Alligator mississippiensis: one gene and its partner. The protein of the gene in region 2 purifies or fractionates together with the protein of the main gene of each other region. This does not show direct contact. Links are inferred from orthologs where the notes say so. Each region holds a gene or a part of one and is shown on either strand. Other genes may lie near its edges. The genes, in order: KIF3C and KIFAP3.

Region 1 (11,575 bases), on a different chromosome or scaffold from region 2:
TGTGCGTGTGGCAGAGAGGACACATCCGTGTGGGACGACACGTGGGCACATATCATAGAAAATTAGGGTTGGAAGGGACCTCAGGGGGTCAAACATGTGTGCCAGCTAGTGTGCGAGCGCGCACATCTGTGTGCGTGACAGAGAAAACACAGCTAGATGTGTGTGACAGAGAGCATGTGTGTGAACACACATCTACATGACAGAACAGGGTGTTTATGTGTGACAGAGCATGCATGTGACAGAAAGCAGGGCCGTGTGCGACACTACACACGTGCATTTGTGTGTGACCGAGCATGCGTGTGAGACAGAGCGTGTGCATGTGTGACCGAGAGACAAAGGAAAAGAGCACATCTGTGTGTGTGCATGTGTGCGTGTGTGTGTGTGTGGGCGGGCGAGACAGCGGCCCCGTGTGTGTCTGGCTGTGCTCACACCCACATGTGTGCGCCTGGCTCCCTCTGGAACACAACAGCCGCCTTTATGCCGGAGCCCCGCCTCCCCGGCGGCCGCGGGCGAGCTGCTTGCTAATCGTTATTATGCTCGTTAAATGAGTGAGGGAATGTGCCGGACACAGGGCCTCATTCATGCCCGCGCTGCATTCCCGGCCCCTTCCCCCGCGCCCCCTCCCCACTGCCCGCGGGGCTCGGCCGCTGGGCAGTGCCACCCGGCCTGGCACGAGCGCCCGGCAGCCTCGACGGGTCAGCGGGACACAGCTGGCCGGAGCAAGCTGCTCTCACGTGGAGGCCGGAGGCCATGACCAGCGCTCAGGGAGCTGGCCGAGGCCTGGCTCTGGGCTCCCAGACCTGCGCGCTGCGACTGCTGCTATGTGCCGGGCCGAGGCAGTCGCCGGCACAGGTGCGAGCACCGTGCAAAACAGAGACTCCCCACCCCGGGTCCGGGTAAACATCTGCAGAGCCCTTCGCGGCCCCTGTAGCCATGTGCCCAGCCTGCCGCTGCCCTCCTTCAAATGCTGCTCTGCCACGAAGCCTAAGGACGTGGCCGTGGCCTGGATGCCGGCCAGTTCTGTGCGTACAGCACCCAGCGCGCCCGGCAAGGGTTTGGACCTATAACAGCCCGGGCAGGTAGGACGCTCTGCGGGTGAGGGCAGAGAGCCGGGATGCCCAGGCCCCGGCCCCGCTGCTGGGTTACTCAGCAGTGACAGGACACGCGGTGGCCCTGGGCCAGCCACGCCGCATCTCGCCAGGGAGGGGACGTCACAGACAGAGCCTGCGCTTCGCCCCCACAAACCTCAGCCCTGTGAAAGTCTAGAGGGATATGGGGTCTCGCTCCCGGCCCCAAGACCTCGCTCTCTCCAGTGCAGTATCTGCGGTTCCTGTAGGGCCTATAGAAACGTCCCCCCTGCCAGCAGCAGCTCAGGGCAGGGCTGGCACCATCAGAGGCCGTGACTGCAGGCGGGGGAGCAGCAGCAGAGCCGGGGCAGAGCAAGAGCAAGACCTGGAAGGGGCAAGACCAGAGAGGCAGCCCTCCCCCCCGCAGACAGGCAGGGACGAGGCACTGAACCGAGGGAGACGAAGGACGGAGCCAGGAGGGTCTAGGCCAAGTGTGCAGAGGATGCCGAACCCCGGTGCACGCATTCATTTGCATATGTACTGGCATGCAGATGTGTGCAATTGTGTGCATGCACACCACTGCCCGGTGCTGGCTCCAGAGCCCGCCGTGGGAAAGGGGACCTGAATTGCTGCCCTCCCACGAGGGGGTGAATTCGCCAGGGCAGTAACTAGCACGGGAAGGGTGGAGGCAGCCAGACGCCCACTCCCCCATCCCTGCGATATCACAGCAGGGTGCCCTGCGAGTGCTGGGGGCTGCCCGTCGGGTCCTGGCGGAGCGGGAGGAGCAGGCATCGGTCACTGCGGGGCGGCCCCGCCGGCCTCTGGGTGCTGCGTGGAGCAGCAGTCAGCCCTGCATCCGCGGCGAGGCGGCGAGGCATCTCTGCACCAGGCCACGCCGCAGCCAGGAGCCTCCAGGGCTGCGTCCTGCCCTGACCACCCGCCCCTCCCCACGGCCAGAGAGCGCCCATCCCCTGCACTCCTGGCCCGCAGCAGGCGGTCGGTCTCCTGTGGCGTGCAAGGGGTTAAAGCGCCAGGAGGGCCCCTCCTGCACCCCCAGCTCCCCCCCTCCTCCAGGATCACAAACGCCGGCACCCCCACACCCCGCCAGCGACACGGGAGACGCACCACGGGACTTGGCCAGCACCCCGCTTCCTGGCTCTCGGGGAGCACCGAGCCACCCCTGCCAGCCCCAGAGCCCCTGTTCCCGCGAGGCGGGGCGTGGGGAGGCTCACGGTGCCCAGGCCGCCGACCTGGGCACCCGCTCCAGCAAGAAAACGGGGGAAAGGAGCTGCCACTGAGCGGAGGTGGGTGGGCGCCGGATGCCTGGGTTCCTTCCCAGCGTGACCTTGGGCGGCCCCCTCCTCCCCGCGCGTCGGACTGTGTCTCCGTGCAGGTGACAGCACTGCCGGGGAGTCTCCATCCCTCCCCATGCGGTACCCGCTGTTTTGGAGCTTGAGCCACACCCCAGAGCCAGCCGCGGGCCGCACTCGAGCAGAGCATCCCCGGCCTCGGCCCCCTGACTGAGCGGCTGCCGGCAAAACAAGCCCGTCGGGGCGTGAGCAGGGGGTCCCTGGGGTCCCCCAGGCTGCGCAGGGGTGCCCTGGGGAGGCCGATGCCCGCGGTGCTCAGCCAGCGTCTTGCCCTGTCTATCTAAAGCCCGCTAGCGATGCTGGAGACAAAAGGAAGTCGGGGGGTTCCCCCCCCTCGCCGCTCCCTTCCCCCCCCCCCGCCAGGTCTGCTGGCCAATGCATATTCAGCAGGTCGCGCCCGCACAAGGGATGCGAATCTGCAGCATCATCCTAGCAACCTCTGCCAGCCGCTGGGTCACGTGGACGGGACTCCGCTGAGGCCCAGCTCGTGCCACTGGTGAGGGCTTGGCCCGTAGCCGAGCACCCCAGGTAGCCTGGGGCCACCCTAGGGCCAGGACGTCGCCACGGGGCTCTCCCACCGGGGACGTGGGTGACCACGCCGGGGCCCCACCCCGTGCCGAAGCCGTGGCCGGCGCTTACCTTGTACTTGGTGGCCAGCAGCTCGGTGGCCTCCTGCTCCTTCCGCAGGTCCTCGATCATCTTCTCCTTCTCCTCCAGGAGCTTCTGCTTGTCCTCGCTCACCAGGCTGTGGTCGTCCTGGATGGCCGCCTTCTCCTCCTCCAGCCGCTCCTTCTGCTCCCGCAAGTAGTTCTCCATGTTCTTCTCCAGCCCGTCCTCGTGGTCCTCCTCGGCCTCGTGCTCCGGGGCGCCCTCCCCGTCCAGCGCCTTCTTCCGCCGGCTGCTCCTCCTCCGCCGCTTGCTCAGCATGCCGCGCTTCTCCAGCTGGGCCTTGAGCCGCACGATCTCCTCCTGAAACTCCCGCAGCAGCGTGTCCTTGGGGTCCTCGTTCACCCGCGGCTTGTTCTTGATGTTCTTGGCCCGGTTGGCGAAGCGGAGGGTGGACAGGCTCTCGTCGTAGCTGTGCGAGGCCGGCCCGAGGGTGGCCACCATGATGGTCTTGGCGTTGCCCCCCAGGGAGTCCTGCAGGAGCCGGGTCAGCTTGGAGTCCCGGTAGGGGATGTGCGTGCTCTTGCCGTCCACCAAGGCGGAGATGACGTTGCCCAGCGCCGAGAGGGAGAGGTTGATCTTGGAGGCTTCCTTCGGCCGCTCTCCCGGCGCCCCGGTCTTGCTCTGGCGCTCGCTGCCCGCCAGGTCCACCAGGTTGAGCTTGCCCACGCGGATGTGGTCCTCGCCGTCCAGCCCGGTCTCGCTGCACTCGACCGTGATCATGAAGATGGCGTGGGAGCGGGAGCTGTGCTCGTTCATGTTGGTGGTGCCCACCGCCCGGGTCTGGTTGCCCAGGTTCATGACGTGCTCGATCTCCTTGACGTTCTTGGTCACGAAGGACGAGAGGTCCTTGATGTAGACGCCCGTCTCCGGGTTCTCCTTCAGCTCCAGCTTCTTGTTCTGGTCCTTGGCCAGCAGGTCCCGGATCTCCTCCTGGTAGATCTCCAGGTAGGAGGCCCTCACCAAGTACTGCTGGTTCTGGGACCGCGAGATGTGGGTGAAGATGTGCTCGAAGGAGTTGGGGATGACCCCGCGCTTCTCGGGGTCGGCCCACGCGCCTTGCATGGTGTAGGTCTTGCCGGTGCCCGTCTGGCCGTAGGCGAAGAGGGTCCCGTTGAAGCCCTGCAGCACCGAGTCAATGAGGGGCCGCACGGTCTCGTCGTACAGGTCTGCCTGCTTGGAGCTGGCGTCGTACACCGCATCGAAGGTGAAGGTCTTGGGCAGCTCCCCCAGCGAGGCCCGGGGGTTGCGCAGCGTCACCTGGCCCAGCCGCACGTCCATCTCCAGGATCCGCTCGTGCCCGGCGGCTTCCTCCTTGCGGCTCATCGGGCGGCACCGGGCCACCACCTTCAGCGCCTCGCTGAGCTTGGGCTTGGGGGCCAGCATGGTCCCGCCTGCCCCGCGCCGCCGGGCTGCGCTGCTCACCCCCGAGCCGGAGCCGGAGCCGGAGCCGGCATGGAGCGGAGGGGCTGCGGCTCTGTCCCTTGGCGACGCTGCCTCTGCCTCTGCCTCTGCCGCTGCTGTGGCTGCTCCGTGCCCTGGAGCCGCCTCCTTTCCTCCCGCACAATGGATGCAGTCAGGCAGAAGCTGCGGGCAGCATCCCCTCCGGCACCGCTCCGCTGCACCCCAGGGTGGGGGCTGGCGCGCCGGCTATAGAGCAGGGGAGAAAAGCAGATAAATGGTGGGGGGGGGGAGAGAGAGAGAGAGAAACCCCCCAAGCTGAGGGCAGCGTCGCCTCGGTGGGCTTCAGTTCCCCGCGGCGGAGGCCGGCCGCAGGGTCCCTGGCACTGCGGGCAGCCGGGGGCTCAGCACCCCCCGGGGGCTCCAGGGCCAGGGCTGGCAGCGCCTGGCCTGCCCCTCCGGATCCTCATTCATTGCAGTGCGGCAGCTGCTGTGCATGCGTGTGTGTGCGAGAATGAGGGAGGAAAACAGAGGGCGCTGGGCGGGCCTGTGCGATGCTGCCTGGGCGGATGCTGGGGGGGGCCGGCGGATGCAGCAGGGAGGGGAAAGCAACATCCCCCCCCCAACATGCTGCTTGTCTGCCAGCCCCAGCCCCCTCCCTGCCCCGCAGCCCAGCACGCTGGGAGCTGTAGTCCTGCCTTTGTTGCCAGCCCTGGGGAGAGGCCAGCGGCCCCTGGGTCCTCTCCCCAGGGCCGGGGGCCTGCGGGCAGGTGCTGCGGCTCTTGCACGTGGGAGGGCCGCCTCCCCACCCCTGCTGCACCACGGCTGCAGTGGGGATTTCGGCTCCGTGCACCGCGCCTGGGATGCTGACAGCCCAGGCAGCGCTTGGGATAGGGCGTGAGGGTGGGAGTGATGCCAAGGGTCCGTGCATCGGCTGGCAGAGGTGTGGGGGTCATCTCCAGCTGCCCGGCTGGGGGCAGGGGGTCACCTGGCCCAGGGTCCTGTGTGCTGACTGCCCTCCAGACCCACATGGGGCGGAGGGGGTCCTGGCACCCGGGGGCCTCCCTGATGCACCCAGCACGGACCCGGCCCTGCACGGGACAGAGGGGAGCGGCGACCTGCTGCAGGGGTCCCTGCTCATGGGGAGATGAGCCCAAGGGAGGCTGCGCCGAGCATCCATCCATATGGAGAGGCCAAGCTCAGGCCTGGAGAAACGTGTGGGGGAAGGCTGGGGGGACTGGAGCTGCGGGGTCAGGCACAGCTGATCCGGGGAGGTTATTCTTCACCTGGTCCCTACACCCCGCCAGGGTGGCTTCATCACAGCCACGTGCACGTGCACAGGTGTGTGCAAGTGTGTGCATGCACACCACTGCCCGCCGTGCAGAGGACGCCACCATCTTAGCAATGAGACATCCGCCCTCGACGGCTTGGCTGCTGCCTGCCCCCCAGCCGCGCCGCGGCCCAGGATGGAGCAGTGCAGCCTGGTGCTCCCTGCAGCCCCCGGGGTGAATCCGGAGCAGCTCAGGTGTCAGTAGAGGTGGACCTGTGACGTCTGCCCCTGCCCCTGCTCCCAGGCACAGCCCGCCCGAAAGCTTGGTCCTCAGGGACCATCCTACCCAGCGCCGCCGGCAACGTCTCGGCAGCACAGGTCTGGTCAGACCGTCTTGGGCACGGCAGGATTCGAATCCAGGGCCTTTGGGGGCCAGTGCACCGTTGCACCCTGTAAGCACCTCGGGGTGACCTGAGCACCCCTCTTCTGCCTCAGGAGCAGACAGGGGGGCATTTGGGGCAAGGTCATTCTGCAGATATCAGCAGTTTTCTATCTATGTATAGTCACCAGATGGAGCTTTGCCCCATCCTGGTGGGCAACCTCCACCTCGGGGCTCAGGGTGGAAGCAGGAGAGGGGAGGACAGGCAAGTTCACGCTTCAGACCTGCTGAGCTCGCATGCAATAAAAGGTAACAGCTTACTACTGCTGGCCGGGCGGTGGTAACCCCCTTAGCTCCAGCTGCAGAGGTCTGTGCTGGGGAGCTGGAAGTCCTTCATTTAAATCATGGGGGGGCACGGATAGAGAGAGGTCATTAGAGCCGAAATCATTAGGATTCCTGGAGAGGGAGGTGGGCCCGAGAGGGTGCCCCCGTCGCCTGCCCGCTACCAGCCCAGGAGGAGATCACCAGGATTGAATGGGGCCTTGCTGGACTGGACCGTTGGTCCAGACTGGGAGCGAACCGGGCGTGCCAGCCTGGTCGCCAGGTGCAGAACGTGACCTGAAACTGGAATGAGCTCAAAGAGGAGCCACGGCGCCGGCGAAGGGGAGCGAGGCCTTTCCTTATGAAAGGAGATTAGTGGAGCTTCTGGTTTAGAAGTGGAAACTGGGAGCGCTCTTGACCCGTTCCTTTCTGGGGTGAACATGGGGGAAGGGGAAGAGCTTTTTAGGCTGAAAACCAACGCTGGCATGAGGTCGTGGCTACAAACTGACTCTGGATCCATCTAGATTTGATAGCTAGAAATCTTCTTTCCACGGAGGGCAGTTCTGGAGTGGTCTTGTCTTGGAGAGAGTCCAGTGGAGGGCAGTGAAAATGGTTGTGGGCTGGGGGACAGGACTGGTGAGGAGAGGCTGAGGAAGTGGCCTGATTGAGTCTGCAGAAGGGAAGACCGAGGGGGATTGAATAGCAGCCTTCACCTCCCTGCAGGGGGGCTGCAAACAGGATGGAGCTGGGCTGCTCTCAGTGGGGGCAGATACAGGACAAGGAGCAATGGGATCAAGCTGCAGCAAGGGAAGTTGAGGTTGGATATTAGGAAAAACTTTCTCACAAGGAGGGTGGTGAAGCGCTGGGATGGGTTACCCAGAGAGGTGGTGGGATCTCCATCCTTGAAGGTGTTGAAGACCCAGGTAGACAAAGCCTTGGCTGGGATGATGCAGCTGGGGCTGGTCCTGCTTGGAGCAGAGGCTGGCCTAGATGTGACCTCCTGAGGTCCTTTCAAACCTCATTTTCTATAATTCAGGGAAAAACGGTGGGAGCGCAGAGCATCCCTTAGCCTGACCCGGGTACGTTTGTGGAAGGGCTGGTCTCACAGGACAGAGGCGTCTGGCATGCCAATCGGTGCGTGTTACGTGGGTCGTGTGCGGTTCCTGGGTGAGGTACAAAGATGGCTCTTGTCATGGGGAAGGTGTCTGGCAAGCCCATGCATCAGGGCTTTTGCTGGTTGCCATTAGGGGCCAGGAAGGAAGTTGCCTCCCTTCCTGGATGCTGCTGGCTTCTGGGGGATTTCTCCCCGTCCCTCTGAAGCAGCGGGATGTTGGCCGTGGCTAAGGCTGTGGGGTTGTGCCTGGGCTGCAGGATGCTCCTGCTGGTACTAGACAACTCAGCGGTTCCTGGCTGGGGGTGGGGGTCTTGCTTCTCTGCTTGAGGTCACACTGAACTTGGGGGTAGGGGCCGGTCCCTTGGATCAGCTCCCCCCCCGGACATGGGCAGCACCCCAACACCCGCGCCTGTCCCTGCGACTGGCTGCGGGGTGCTCTCGGTGCCTGCAGCCACGGGCGGGTGTGCAAAGGGGGTTAACAGTGCCTGCAAACACAGGGGTCTGGCTCAGCCTCTGCCCTCGTCCCTCCCTGCCCCACGCAGATGGGATGGGGGGTCTGGGGCAGTCGCACGTGTCCGCACGGCTCGGAATAATCTCCACCGCTTTGCAGGGGACCCACCGTGACGGGCTTCGTGGGCGATTAAACCTCTTGCAGTTAATCGAGTCGCAGCAGCCGCCCGCTCCCTAGAACAGGAGATTAACCCTTAATGAATTAATTAGGGTGTTTATTCAGCTGCCTTAATCTGAGCTGCGCAGCGTGGGCATGGAGCCCCTTCCCACCCCTTGGCGGGGGGCTGAGGCTCGGTTCAGCCCTCCGTGGGGAAGGGGACCTGGCTGGGCTCTTCTGCCTCCACGACTCTCTCGGCATGTCCCGAGCTGACGGGCACGGGCTGGGGGAGGCATCGCGGTGCTTTCCTCGCTGCCACGGGCCTGGCGCTGCAGTGAACGATGCGTGATGGTGTGGGGGAGCAGGGCCCTGGTCCGGGGCTGCAGGCTGGGCTGGGGCAGGGGTGTCCCGGCTAAGTCACGCTCCCAGCGCCCACGTCGCCGACCTGCTGACGGATCGGCCTGGCTCGTGTGCTGGAGACGTCCAGAGCATGGCACCGTCCGTGCCCAGAGACACCGGCTTCCCTTCTCCCCCCACGGGCTTGGGATCACTAGCCCCATTATGCCCCTCCACTCAGGATCAGACTGCTGCTGCGTTGGGGTAAGGACGGGACTTTTCCTTCTTCCCTTTTGCTCAGATGGGCACGGGCTGTGCGGGGTGGGGTTTGCTTTCCCCTATAGCTGGGGCACAGGCTCTGCCTGGGGTCTCTTGAGCACACATTAACCCCCTCTGCAGCAGCAGGACGTTGGCGGCTGCAGCCCCGTTTTCCTGGGGGCAGGGATGGGGGCGATGCCTGGGGCTGTGTGCGGGTGACGGTGTCGTGTGGCTCAGAGGTTGCGCGTGGGGTTTGTCCGGGCTGGTTTGCACGGGGCTGATCCTGCCTCAGGCAGGGGCTGGGCTGGATGTGACCCCGCAGCTCCCCGCCAGTGGCTGCGCACCCTCCGCGGCCCAGGGCACGAGAGGCCCGCCGGCGGCTACGACCGCTCTCCTGACACAGGACTGCACCCCTGCCCCTCGGGCCCTAGCGGAGACGTGCCCTGGGGAGCACGCTGGCAGAGCTGTCCTGGACGTAATTAGAGGCCTTCACACTGCTCATCCCAGCATCTCATCCCACCCCATCCAGAGCAGTGGGGGCAGGCAGGACACGGACTGGATTCCTGCTCTGGGCGCTTGTTGCCTCAGTTTTGCCCACCTGCAAAATGGGCGTTGCATTTGCCTGCCGCATAGGGGCACCGGGAAGGGGAAGGGGCAGCTGGGACGCCAGGGGAGCAGTGTGTTGTTGTAGGATCCCGGGCGAACACCGGGAGCAAAGACAGGCAGAGAGGCTGGCTGGCCTGGGAACGGGGCTGGCTTGCCGGGCTCCAAACCAGGCTGCTGCTAGCGGATGCACATTGCCTCCTCGCGCGCAGGCTAGCGCTAGCAGGACAACGGGGCTACGGACAGTGCATCCCCTGCCCTATGCACGGGAAAGGAAAGCGGGCTCTGAGCCGCCAGATGGGGCTCAGGACAGGATCAGGCCCTTCCACCCTGGGTGCTGCACAAACACTGGATGCACAGACACCCGCGTCCCAAAGGGCTGAGGGCCCAAGCACCCTCCTGGATGTGTGCCCCCCTGGCTGGCCCTGGACCCCGACCCTCTCTTGCAACCCGTCCTCATTGCAGAGCTGGTGCAGGATCAGCCTTGCTCGGGTGTGAGTGTCCACACTGCAACCCCCTCCTGGAGCCCTGCCTGCCACCCCCTCGAGGCACCAAGCCATCCGGGGACACGTCGCCAGCCTGGAGGGGGTACCCCACGGTGAGCTGAAGGCAACTCCCCTTTGCTCAGGTGGAGGTGGGGGCAGGACAGGAGGTGTGGCGGTGGGGGTTTCTGGGTGTGCGGCGCTGCACGTTGTGCTCCCAAAGCAGCCCGGTGCCTGCAGAAGGCGGCCGCTGCCTGGCGCAGGAGATGGCACCGTCAGGGGCAGCAGGGACAGCTCACACGCGCTGTGCTGACGCGTGGCTCTGGGGCTGGGCCCCTGCCTGGGGTGCACTTTGGACCCCCTGCCCCATCACTGGTCTTGGGGTGGTGCCGAGGAGCCGGGGGCTGGGTTTGCACGTGGAATGAAGGCTGTGTTTCCCCAAGGCACCGGCCCCGAGGCGGGATCTGGGGAGCAGAGGGGCGTGAGACTCCTGTGCGGATGCGATGCCCGGCCCGGCCGCGGCTGGCCTTGCCTCTCGCTCCCGGAGCCGGGCTGGCAGACGGGGCTCGGGGCCCAGGAGATGCTGGCTCTTGCCAGCAGAGGCCAGTGCAACCCAAGGCAGCGCCAGCGCATGCCAGAGCCAGGCAGGGAGACTTGCCCTCGTCCTGCAGCCTGGGCTCGCCCGTCCCAGGGGAGCATTACTCTCCGTGGTGGCTTGGCGTGGCGCAGACTCCAGAGGACTGGGCTGGGCACTGTGAGCTGGGGGAGCTGAAAGCCTCGAGGACCCCTCCTGCCCTGTGCCGTTTCCCCCTCCGCTGCCCCGGGGGCTCATGCAGTGGGGGAGGATGCTGGCAGTTTGGTCCGGAGGGATCCCAGCACGAGATCTCTGCAGCCAGGTGCTCTGCCATGGCCATGCGGCGAAGGACGACGTGAGCAGCGGTGCTGGGGCTATGCACCCGTGGGCACCGGTGATGGTTGAACCACGCCATCACCAGCTGCCAGGGAGGAGGGGGTGCTTGCAAGAGGCTTCAGCTGGAGCTTGGGGGTCTTGTCGATGGGCCTGGGGCAGGGGCAGCATCTCAGTACCGCCCTGCACCGCTGCCCCGAAGACCTGGGTGCCGGCAGGATGCAGGGCCCTGCAGCGGACGATGAATCTGGACTTGTTTAGCAGGAGCTGGACCTCGCCGTGCCGCCAGCCTGAGCGGCTCCCGCTCGCTGCGAGGGGGCCTGTGGCCTGCAGAAAGGTCTCTTCCCCTTCCTCTTCCCGAGGGGCTGAGCATGAAGTCTGGGGCTTCCCGGTTCACTGAGATGGAGTTTGCTGTGTCTGTCACGTAGAAGGCAGGGTGGATTTGCACCTTATAGACTAACCAAAGCAGATAGGCTGTATAGCTAGAGAGAGGGAGCTCACGAAATCTAGCTAGCTAGTGATCTCGAGACCTTTTCAGGGGTGCTGCAGGGGCCCGCACAACGTACGCCCTGCTAGGCTTGGAAATGCGATTCACCGGACAAAACTGGCGATTTCCAATAGAAATCCAGAGTTGTGGTCTCCTGGAGTCCTCTGCAACAGAAGAATCGCTCTGCTGGCTTTCTGCAGGCCAACGCGAAGAGCTGGCACTTTCTGAGGGAGGCCTCGAGCCTATTCAGGGGTGCAGTGAGTCTAAAAAAGGTTGAGCACCACTGGTCCCTGCCTCCCTGGTTCAT
Region 2 (11,744 bases):
GCCTGTACCATAGCAGAACCCCATGCGTCTTAAGACTTTCCAACACTCAGTATCCTGCCTCTGGCACTCAGCGTTCCTCTCCTCCCCCCCCCCCCCCCGCCCCCCAATTCTCTGCCATTTAAGCAGTGTAAACATTCCAATTGATGCCCATGTCTACTTTAATTATTTTCTTTTGGTCCATTTATTATAAAGGGTGATTCACTCTTTTCTGGGCAGACGATCACAGAATCATAAAAATAAGGGTTAGAAGTGACCTCACATCATCTAGTCCAACCACCTGCTCAAAGCAGGACCATCCCCAACTATATCATCCCAGCCAAGGCTTTGCTTAGCTGGGTCTTAAACTTCCAAGGATGGAGATTCTACAACCTCTCTGGGTAACTTGCTCCAGACAGTTTTTCCTAATATCTAAACTAAACTTCCCTTGCTGCAACTGGAGAACATTGCTTCTTGTTCTGTCATCTGCCACCACTGAGAACAGTCTAGCTTCATCCTCTTTGGAACCACCATTCAGATAGCTGAAGGCTGCTTTTAAATCACCTCTCGGTCTTCTCTTCTCCCGACTAAATAAATCCAGTTCCCTCCGCCTCTCCTCATAAGTCATGTCCCCCAGCCCCCAACCATTTTTGTTGCCCTCTACTGGACTCTCTCCAATTTGTCTGTCTACACCCATTCTATAGTAGTGGCCCCAAAACTAGACACAGCATTCCATATGTGGCCTCACCAGCACTGAACAGAGGGGAAGAATCACTTCCCTTGATCTACTGGCAACGCTTCTACTAATGCAGCACAGTATGCCATTAGCCTTCTTCGCAACAAGCTGAATGTAAGCCAACAGCGTGCCCTTATTGTCCACTGTAATGCCCAGGTCCTTTTCTGCAAAGCTGCTGTTTAGCCAGTTGGTCCCCAGCCAGTGCATGGGACTGTTCCATCCTAAGTGTAGGAATTTTCACTTCTCCTTATTGAACCTCATGAGATTTCTTATGTTCCAATCCTCCAGTTTGTCAAGATCTCTCTGAAACCTAGCCCTACTCTCAAGGGCATCTACTACATCCCCAGCTTGGTGTCATTTGCAAACTTGCTGAAGGTATCCTCCATCCCATCTTCCAGGTCAGTCACTGATGAAAACACTGAACAAAACTGGCCCCAGGAGCAACCCCTGGGGCACTCCACTTGATATTGGCTGCCAGCTAGACATCGAGCCATTGATTACTATCCTCTGAGCCAGACAATACAGCCAGTTTTCTTTCCACCTTACAGTCCATCCATCCAACCCATATTTCCTTAGCTTGCTAGCGAGAACGTTATGGGAGACCATATCAAAAGCCTTGCTAAAGTCAAAGTATATCATGTCTACCGCTCTTTTCTCACATCCACAGAGCCAGTCATCTCATCATAGAAGGCAATCAGGTTGGTCAGGCATGACTTCCCTTGCTGAATCCATGCTGCCTGTCGTTCTCCTCCTCTAAGTGCTTAGAATGATTCTTTGAGGGTCTGCTCCATGATTTTTCCAGAGGCTGAGGTGAGGCTGACTGGTCTGTAGTTTCCTGGATCCTCCTTCTTCCCTTTCTTAAAGACAGGCATTAGATCTGCCCTCTTCCAATCATCCAGGACCTCTCCCAATTGTCACAAGTTTTCAAAGATAATAGCCAGCTGATCTGTAATCACATTAGCCAACTCCCTCAGCACCCTTGGGTACATTGCGTCCGGCCCAAATTATTTCTACAGGCCCAGCTTTTCTAAATAGTCCCTAACCTGTTCTTTTGCCACAGCTGGCTGCTCACCTCCTCCCCAAACTGTAGTCTGGGAGCTGATCTTGCCTTTAAAGACCAAGGTAAAAAAGGCATTGAGTACTTCAGCCTTTTCCCCATCATGTGTCACTAGGTTGCCTCCTCCATTCAGTAAGGGACCCACACTTTCCCTGATCTTCATCTTGCTGCTGAAGTTCTCCCAAGGCTATCCAGCTTCCCCAGGACTGAGTGACACACTTGCAGGAAAATTGGAACAGTACGCATAGCCCCTCACTGTAGTAACCACAACCCAACTGGTCATAAACAAAAACTGACCAGCAATGTAAAGGAGGGGCCTTCTCTGCAGGGATGGCAACAGCTGTATGTTACCAGGGTTCTGAATTCATAGTTTTGTCATCAACCCACATCAGGTGACTTACTTATTCTCTTCTGTGCCTCTATGTCCCCATTCTATAAGTGGGGCAAATAAAACTTAGCTGCGTCCCAAGTGGGGTTGGAGGACACTGAGAACCTCCAACAGAAGAAGCTATAGAACCACAAAATAACGCTGCATGAAAAAGATTGCGAGCCGCAGATCAGTTCACAGCAGGCCTAGATCTATACCATGACCATCTCCTTTCCTAACGGATGAACCCTGCCTAGCGAGGGATAAAGCCCACACCAAACAGAGGAAAATTTTATTCTCTCTAATCTAAGACTTATTAAGCATTTGTGTCAAGTCTCAGCAACCTTTCTGATCCTTCTGCAGTCTGATGATGTTCTTTTCCAAGTTGTCTCTCCCATCAGTCTCCTTTAAGACGGTTTTGACCATTGTCAGCATGGTGTATGGGCAATCCAGCAAGGTTGCCAGCCCTAAAGCTTTCAGATATTTCTTTTCATAGAGCAGTGTTTCCCAACCAGTGCACCGTGGCACAAAAGTGTACCATCAGAAACGAACAGACATTCTGCGGAACTTTGTCATGGCAATGAGCTACAATAGGTATGAGGATGGGGAATGCCTTAATAGGTAAATGCCATGGAAAGTGTTTATTAATGTAAGCGTGGCTTGGGCTGGAAAAGGTTCGGAAACACTGTCATAGAGCAAGTAGGAGTACTCTTGGTAGTTCTTCTGTAGAGCAACTTCTTCCACCACTAGGAATTCTTTGGGGCAGATAGGATAGTCTGCACCTGGCTCTGCAATGTGTTTTTGTGTGGAGTCTCCACAAGGTGGAGGGGTTCATCCAAAGGGAACAGTTCCCAGAATCAAGACCCTAAAGAGAGATAATTAAAAGATACCAGTTCTGTCACTGTCTTCCATTTATCTCAGGATTAATCTCATGGGAGAAACTACCCAGCACTACTTCTCTTTGACATCCTATGCTGAGTCAACACCTGTTCTTCAGGGACAGGATAGGAAGTATTTACAAATGTACAGAAGGAGAAATCTGCCAGTGTGAGTTGCTCTGCACAGAGATCTAGCACTTCCTCAAAGATTTTTCCCTTCTCAGGAATGTGTGCTATGCATCCCATGAGCCCTGCCCCCAAACAGGATAGAGTGGGCAAGCTTGACTGGAGGCATTATTGCTGTGGAGATGCTATATTTTCTTCCTTATCCCCCTCCCATGGACTGATGTAATGGGTCACAAAACCTGCTCTAGTTATTGGACTGTTACAGGCTCTAATGGCTGGGACAACCATTTTCTTCCCTCGCCCATGCATAGTGCCAATGCTATCCCAGCTAGGAGGGCAAGGTCCTGTTTAAAGAATTTGCTCTTTCACCAGTTCACATCTCAGCTCCTGCCTCGAAAAACTTTTTTCTTTTTAAAGCGACTCAAAATTGACAGCTGTACAGGGCTACAGATGCACTCAGCATTATCACCGTCCACTACAACAATATCTTATTTGGGCCTCCAGTGCCACAAAGGAAATTATTAACTGAAGCAAAGGGAAATACACCCAGGAAAGAATTCCTCTTGCAGATTAAGTTTCGCAGCCAGCCGCCCACTTTAAAAATCATCCAGATGTGGATCGCTGCTCAGGCCTGCAGGACAAACGCCATGCTGGGTGGTCAGCACACGCCCACATCGCTCTGTGCTTTGTTCACCTGCTTTGTTATGGAAGTGACATGAATCTCGCTCCCGTGCAACCTTTCTCTTCTGAACCTCCCTGCCGGGACAGAAGAGCTCTGGCGCACACCAAACTCAGGGACTGGCGCACATTGAATTAAATCCATTAGTGGAGGGAGGTGGGGGGGCTGTATTCACTGAATCAGCACAAAGCACACACGGGCAAGAACGCCATCCTCTACAACAGCAACAACCTGCGTCACCAGCTGAATCATGGGGGAGCCGGGGATGCGCTGGGCATCCCCTGCGCCCGCCCCCACTCACCTGTCTGGGACTAAGGACACAAGGGGCTGCCAGAGGGGATGCAAGAGCGCGGGGTGGGGAGTGGAAGAGAGGAGCGGGATACCTGCCCCCCGGCCTCCACCCTCCCACACACGTAGAAAAATACCCCCAGCCCCCACCCCAAATCCTTATACATGGGGGGCAAGGGAAGCCCGTGAAAGCGCAGGGCAGGACCCGGCCTGGATGCGAGGGGAGTCAGCCCTGCCGCGACCCCCACCCACCCCATCCCCGCCGCGTCACCTCTTGAGGTATCGGGCGTCCTCCCCCTGCATGGTGCGGCCGGCCGGCCGGCGGGGCGGAGGCCCGGGCGAGCAGCAGGGCGCTGTCCGCGCCGGCGGTTACCAGGGTGAGGCAGCGCCGGCTCCGCCCACACGCCGCGACCGGCAATGCGCAAGCGCCGCGCGTGCGCAGAGAGGCCCGCTCGGGACCGATTTGGCGAGGCAGTCGCACGAGATTGGGCACGGAGGGAGGTGCCACGCAGCGCCCCCTGGAGGCGCGGCGGGGGAAGCTCCCGGGCCTGCGATGACCCGCTAGGCTGGAAGGGAATCGCCAAGCTCGGGCTTTCAGGGGCGGAGTCAGCCCTCGGCAGGGCTGTGGCCTCCGCTGTAGTGCAGGGCTGCTGTTGGTAGCCTCATGGGCTGGGTCCGGACAGTGTCTGCCCACCCTCAGGGTCTCCCACCCATGCAGCTCCAAGCACACCTTTGTGGTACCCCAGGAGCAGCTAGAGGGGAGGTCTGAGGCTTGCAGGGGTGCCTTGTTCAAGTTACAGCAAGGGAGGTTTAAGTTGGATATTAGGAAAACTTCTCTCACCAGGAGGGTGGTGAAGCACTGGAACAGGTTACCCAGAGAGGTGGTGCAATCTCCAGCCTTGGAGGTTTTTAAGGCCTGCCTAGACAGGCAGGGATGATTTAGTTGAGGATGGTCCTGCTTTGAGCAGGGGGTTGGATTAGATCAGTGATTCTCAACCTTTTTTGTACCAGGACCCATTTGTAAACATTGATGGCCAGTCCTGACGCAGTGCCCCTCACTCTAGACCCGCTGCCCTCTACCCCCAGGTCCCAGCCCCCAAGTGTGTGGGGCAGGAGGAGGCCCGAGGAGCCCCTCGCAGGCTGGAACGCCGACAGCTTGCAAGGGAAAAGTGATGATTTCCCACGTTTCTCTCCTTTAAAGGAGAATCCATTTTTTAAGTTTGTTGATCCATTTTTAAAGTTTGTTCGCAACCCTTTCATATATTTTTGGGAACTACTTTTGGGTCGCAACCCACAGAATGAAATACATTGGACTATATGACCTCTGGAGGTCCCTTCAAACCCTCATTTTCTATGATTCTAACTGGCATGAAGGGTTCACTCACAGTGCTTAGAGTTGCAGTAAGTACCCTGCACGAGGCAAGTTAAGGCTCCTGACATGCCCACAGTGCACTGGTTTCAGTGTATATAGGACAGGTGACCCTAAACCGACCCCCAGGTCACACAAGGTTCTGTGGTTAGATGTGATATCTGTTGTTAGACTAACTAAGTAGCTGGAAAAATTGTTCTTTGCAAGCTTTTGGGTACAAACAGCCTTTGTCAGGCATAGGGCGAGTCTGCTGGTGTTGTGTGCGCTCTCCTGGGTAGAATAGAAGCACAATATGCACAATGCAGGTCTGTGCAAATGCAAATAAGTAGCAGTGAGGATCTGAGGGAATGGGAGACAATAGGTGTGAGGCAGGGGGGAGACTCTCCCTATGCCTGATGAAGGGTGTTTGTACCCAAAAGCTTGCCAATTTTCCCAACTATTTAGTTGGTCTAATAAAAGATACCACATCTATCCAAAGAACCTTGTTGCCTATGTCCTTACCAACACTGACTACAACCAAGAACCTTAGCACCAGGTCTGCACCACAGCTGCGGCCAATGTAACTTGAGCCCAGTAGCTCCAGCCTCTAGCATTCCCAAATCATGAGTCAGGCACCAAAAATCACGAGATCTTTTAAAAACAACAAAAAAACCCAACAACAACAAGAAGTGCTGAGCTCTTATTTGCCATCTGGTCTTGAGCCTTTTGGTTACAGTCAGGTCATACTCTCAACCTCCTCACCACAATTCTGAATGCTAGGAATTTTTCTTTTCCATGAAAGCTGAGCTTTTCACACCATCACTTGTTTCCAGGAGCAGGGGTTTGAAGTAAAACACCAAATATTGTGAGACCTGTGGTAAAATTGCCAGAGGTTGGCAACACTGTGAACCCTGTTCAAAACTGCTGAGAAAATATCCCAATTGCAGACAGGTCCCAGACACAAGGGTGCCAGGACAAACACCTACTCTTGCCTTAAGTGCTGTGGTGTCTTCCAGACCCTCACACATCCCTTTGCAGATCCAGGTTTTGTACCCACAGAGCAATATGCAGGAACTCTTATTTTTCTGCCTGGGATGAATGCAGGACTAGAGGGATTTAACCAGGTTGTTTCAGTGAAGTATAGGTATAAAGCTGATATTTTGGGCACTTTTTTAGCTCTACACATAGCTTCACTAAAAAGCTTCTAGGTTGAAATAAAAAAACTTGAAGGAAAGCATTTCAGCCCTCATTTGCATTTTTGGACAACGTGAAAGAAAAGTTTGTGTGTAGTAGCAGTTTGCTAAAGTTTCCTTTGAGAGTTGGTGTGAGTTCTAAGGGATATTTCAGGATCTTTGCTCCTTTCCATTCAGGTAACTAAACTTTCACAACTTTTTCACATGTCTCTCAGTATTTGGTATTTTTCTGAAAACCAACATTTGTAATGTGATTTTGTGATACTTGTTTTTCCTTAGGTTCATCTGAAGGTGTGAGAAGCAGGTTTCATTAAAAAAAAAAAAAGTATATTTCTGACTTCATGGCTCCACAGAGAAAGATTGAAAATGTGACTCTAAAACAGAAAACACCGAGGATCTGATGACATATCATTTAAAAAATAATCCCAGGAATTTTAGGCCTGTTGCATGATTGTAGGGGCCTGGCTTATGATCCTTGAATATTTATAGTTTCCAGTAAAAACTTCAAATATGTCATGTTCTAAGCAACAACACATACATGTGTAAACATAGGCCCCAAATCCTACAAAATGCATACACATGAGCAACTGTAGTTTGTGGCAATAGTGTTTCATTGTCTCCTCTACCAACAGGGAAGCTGTGGCAGAGATAGGTGAAGTGATTTGACTGTGGTCACCACCTGTGACAAAGTTTAAGAATAGCTGGCTTCCAGTCCTCAGCTCATTCCCCCCACCCCCAGTTCCCAATCAAAAGAAACATGAACCTTCTCCAAAAGGCAATCATACTGTAATAGGCATGCACATCATGCTTTTCCCACATGTTTATAATTTTGCAGTTTCTCACTCTGCCTCTTTCAAATGAGGCAAATCATGCAATCCAGTCTGCTTACACCCATGCTATTAGTTGTAATCATAGGAACCCAAGCCATAGGTTAGATCCTTATGATGCTAAGCACCATACAAGCATGGAATAAAAAGATGGTTCCTGCCCCAAGGAGCTTACAGTCTATTTAAGCTCTGTTGTCTTGATCTCTCAAAGATGTAAACATGTGAGCAACTTTATCCAAACACATGCAGAACGTAGAAGAAGTTCCAAATGGATAATTTGGCAAACATTTGTCATTTCAAGTCTTGTCCTTTTAGGCTCTGCTTTGACTTTGCCCATATCGCATGGGGAAAGAATGCCAAGGGTCAATTTACAGTGCCAATAGTTAGAAGATACATTTGTTTGTGAGAGTGCCAATATAACTCCAGAAACCCAATGAAACCTTTTTAGCAGCAATTTGTGGTTCAGCAGCCAATTTTAATCCATTTGCTTTGTCAACAAGTACATTTGGACTATTGAACTACTCCCAACAAGTCTTATACACTAGACAACAGTTGACAGGGCCACAGTTGCTGCTGTAAGGGCAGTTTGGCATTCTACAGCAGGGCTGGTTTAAAGAAGGTAATTTTTGTCCTCACTTACCCTCCCCAACTCCTTTTGTCACCACACAGTATTGTATTATGATCACAGTTTCACACCCCAGACTTTAACATCAGGGTAAGGATTTTTTGTAAGGATATTTCAGTGTTGAGTCCCAGCTATGTACTCTTATGAGTCAGTTCACAGATGTGGCATCATGGGAAAGAAGGGAAGATTTGCACCTTACAGACTAATTTTGTCCTTTTTCAGGAGGTGTTTGAGGTCATTAATGATGTATTTAAGGTGTTCGATCTGGGGGCTGTAGGTGACAACTAGAGAGACTTTGTTGTTGTTGTCCCGGGGTTGGTATTATAGGAGGTTAGCATGATATCCAAGTGTGCTTTTATTGATCCGAGTGCCTACAGTTCTGGAATTGTATTGGAATTGTAGGAATCCCTGCTCCTGGTCTTTAAAGCATGCATCCCAGCCAGTGGGATCAGCATGGATATGATTGTAACATATGGATTGGCCGTAGACAGTGAATCTAGTGGTGTGGTTAAGATGAAAGTTGGTGGTATGAAGGTAGCTGTGGTGGTCAGTTGGTTTCCAACACAATGTGGCCATTGCAAACATTCACTGTAGTGTCTAGGAAATGAATTTGCTGGGTGGAATATTCTAGAGTTAGTCCAATGAAGCGAGTTCCAAAAAAAGATTTAATTAGTCTACAAGGTGCAAACTTCCCCTGCTTTCCACTTGACTTTAAACTAACTTAGCCAACTATGGACACCTATATACATGCTTGCGAGGGGTGTGTGGGGGTGCATTTTAATTAGAGCGGCTCTCAAGGGCTGCTTTAATTAAAAATTCCTACAGTGTCTTGTGTATTCAGCACCCCATATTTCAAGGTGGCACCAGCAGGACTTGTTCAATGAGCTTTAGTTAAAATTGCCCCTACCGCCATTTTGAGGTGCAGGGATGCTGAATACACAAGATGCTGCCGCACACTGGAATGTTCCCATTAGAAGTCTTAATGCAACACATTGGAGCATGCGTGAAGTGCTCCATGTCTCATGAAAAAGACCAGAGAGGCCAATCAAACTATGACTTCAGCTCATCCATGTCTTCAGCCAGATTCTGCAAGTGTGACAAACTGTTTGCCATGCAATTGAATTGTTTTTCATCTTGAGGGAATGGAAATCAAGACTTATTCTATATTTCCTGCTTTCATCCAGATGCTGGCTAACCAGAATACAGTTAAAAAGGCTGGGCTTTCAAGAATGCTCTGGATGAAGTGAAAAACACTGATTTTATAGATAGTTTTAAGGAGTATTTCTCTCAGCTTCAATCCCTTGTTACTCTGTATAGCATATAAGTTTTACTACAAGTTGTAACCTAATCCTCCTCTTCCCACAAGTCCATTTTACCATTTTCTTACTAATAAAATTGCTACCATGTCTTGTATCTATGCTTTTGCTCCACATCATGTTTCCTCTCCAAATGTAAACCCTTAAGGCACTGTAGTGTTGTGGAGTTGGTTGGTAACTCTCTCAATGGCTTGAGATCTTTCTAGTGGGTCTTGTCTGTTATTACCCAAACCACCAGAACCAAGAAGGACAGAAGACTATATACTAGAGTACACACCAGCGTACTTTCCTTTGTGGGAACCCAGCAGTGCTTGTGTAGTTTTCTTTTCTTGTCTTAAGAAATGTAGTCTATGTCTATATGTAACAGGACCAGGCCCCAGGGGAGCTGCAACACCCCAACAGCTATACGATTCCTGCCCAACTTGATCTCTGAGATACCTTCCCTTTATTCTTCACTTGCCACAGCTTGTTCTCATTAAGAAATTGAAAAGGGAGACTGCCCATGGGCTTAAAGCAAGCCCTAATCAGTTCCTACCTTTCTCTGTCTCCGACTCTTCCCATCAGAGCAAGCTCTCCATTAAGTGGGGTTCCTGGCCATTTCAAGGCACCTGTTGCCTTATGGGCTCCATACCTTCCCCACAGCTCTGCACATGCCTCACAGATGTCAAACATGCTTATTGTAAATTAGCTTTTCTACTTTGGAGAACAGATAGCACCAGCTGAGTCTCCCCATGCTGGACAAATGGAGTTTGTGTCCAAAAGCTTGCAAATAATTTCCCCCGGCCCCCAGATATTCGTTTGGTTTAATAAGAGGTATCACATCTACCCAAATAACTTTGTCTGCCACATCTAGTGAGATGCTCATCCCCAAGGCCACCAGGCCACCTCAAGCATTACTCTTTTGTTTGGGGCTCCATGCCATTCTGGGCTTCAGGCCCTGCCCCTCACTGGGCTCTTTCTGCCCTTCTTGGGCCACACCAAAATTCCCTGGCCCCATCTGCCTTAAACATGATCCCTGGCAGGGATCAAGGTGGTCATATGCCCCTCAGGCACTAACAGACCTCCAAACCACCAGTGTAAACTCTACACCAAGATAAGCCCTCTGGCTATAACAACTTCCTAGCAGTGTCTAAGCACAAACTCCAGCTCATTGGCTGTATCACTCTGCTCCCCCCACCCTGAGTCCAATTTCCTTACAAGTCAACAGCATTCTAGATGCATTACTCCCATGGTAACCCAGGCATCAGCAAGCAGCTTTTTTTGTTACTTGCCTGCTCTTTCTTCAGCAGCTCCCAGAGCCAGACTGACCACTTTGGCTCAAGCCCTGGGTTTATATGGCTGGAAGCCATGCCCCAGTTTGGTTATGTGGTTCCCTGAGCTGCCACAGGTAATCCCTGATTTAGCTTGCCGGTTGAGCCTCAGGGCAATTTACTACTGCTGGTCTCTGTTGAAATAATAGCTTATCTCCCATGCAGGGCACTAATCCAGTGGGCTGCTACAGTACAGCTAACAGTAAATAAGTACTTGTAGTAGGTTAATCTCCAGGTGTTTGTTCCCTGGTAGTTCATAATGGGCAACTTTCTTCTCCTGAGGCTCTCCCTGATGTTCCTGCACCCAGGAGCCTCAGGCTGTCTGTTACACAATAGTACACAGTTAATCCAGGTGATTTGCACTTGGGTCTTCAAGCCTAGTTGTGAGTAATTGTTGCAAAGCTCCACATTACTGTATCCCCATTGCTTCTTGACTAGTCATTTGTGTCTCTATATCTGTTGCCTCTTTCTGCTGTGGTTTTCTGAGATTTTATCCCAAGCAATTTTGAGAGATCTTGTCTATTCTTTGCGGGTAGTTTGGGGGGGAAAGCACTTAAGTAATTTAGGCTGCATCTTCACAGAAAATTGATAGCAGAACTGGGTGCTATCCCACACCAGCCAGGTAAGCAAGGCTGGACTTGAAGCCTACTTCTGTGCCCACCTCAGAAGTCTTTCTATGAGGAGAGTAGGAACAATCTAAGGCTCAAACTCAGGAGGCTGGGGTAACTATGCAGAGTAAATACACCCTCAAGGGCCAACCAAGTCAGGTTGCTTAACTTACATTAAATAAATATGATGGATAAGTATTCCAAAAAAAGTTTGCATAATATTGAATATGAAAGATGGGGAGTGAGAATATGGGACCAAGGAAAATAAATCATGTGGCTCCTTGGAGCTCTGAGAGAGGCTAGCAGGAATCTGCCTGGCAGGGAGGCACATCCAAGAAGGACAAATAACGCAGAGTAACTGTGGAGGGTCAGATGGTCACTCCACCCTGTTTGGAAACCTGCTTTCTGCA

Evidence for each region.
Region 1: the proteins of KIFAP3 (region 2) and KIF3C purify together in Homo sapiens (co-immunoprecipitation; 3 studies listed by BioGRID and IntAct, counting the BioPlex papers as one, with this or other methods). This does not show direct contact. The link is inferred for Alligator mississippiensis from reciprocal best matches to the Homo sapiens genes KIFAP3 and KIF3C.

Annotation. Positions count from the first base shown.
Region 1 is NC_081824.1:1,326,923-1,338,497, forward strand, and holds the start of KIF3C (kinesin-like protein KIF3C), read right to left. Parts: upstream 5,062-11,575; 5' UTR 4,490-5,061; coding exon 3,077-4,489; intron 1-3,076.
Region 2 is NC_081828.1:45,974,526-45,986,269, reverse strand, and holds the start of KIFAP3 (kinesin-associated protein 3), read right to left. Parts: upstream 4,509-11,744; 5' UTR 4,411-4,508; coding exon 4,379-4,410; intron 1-4,378. UniProt on the Homo sapiens protein: Involved in tethering the chromosomes to the spindle pole and in chromosome movement. Binds to the tail domain of the KIF3A/KIF3B heterodimer to form a heterotrimeric KIF3 complex and may regulate the membrane binding of this complex.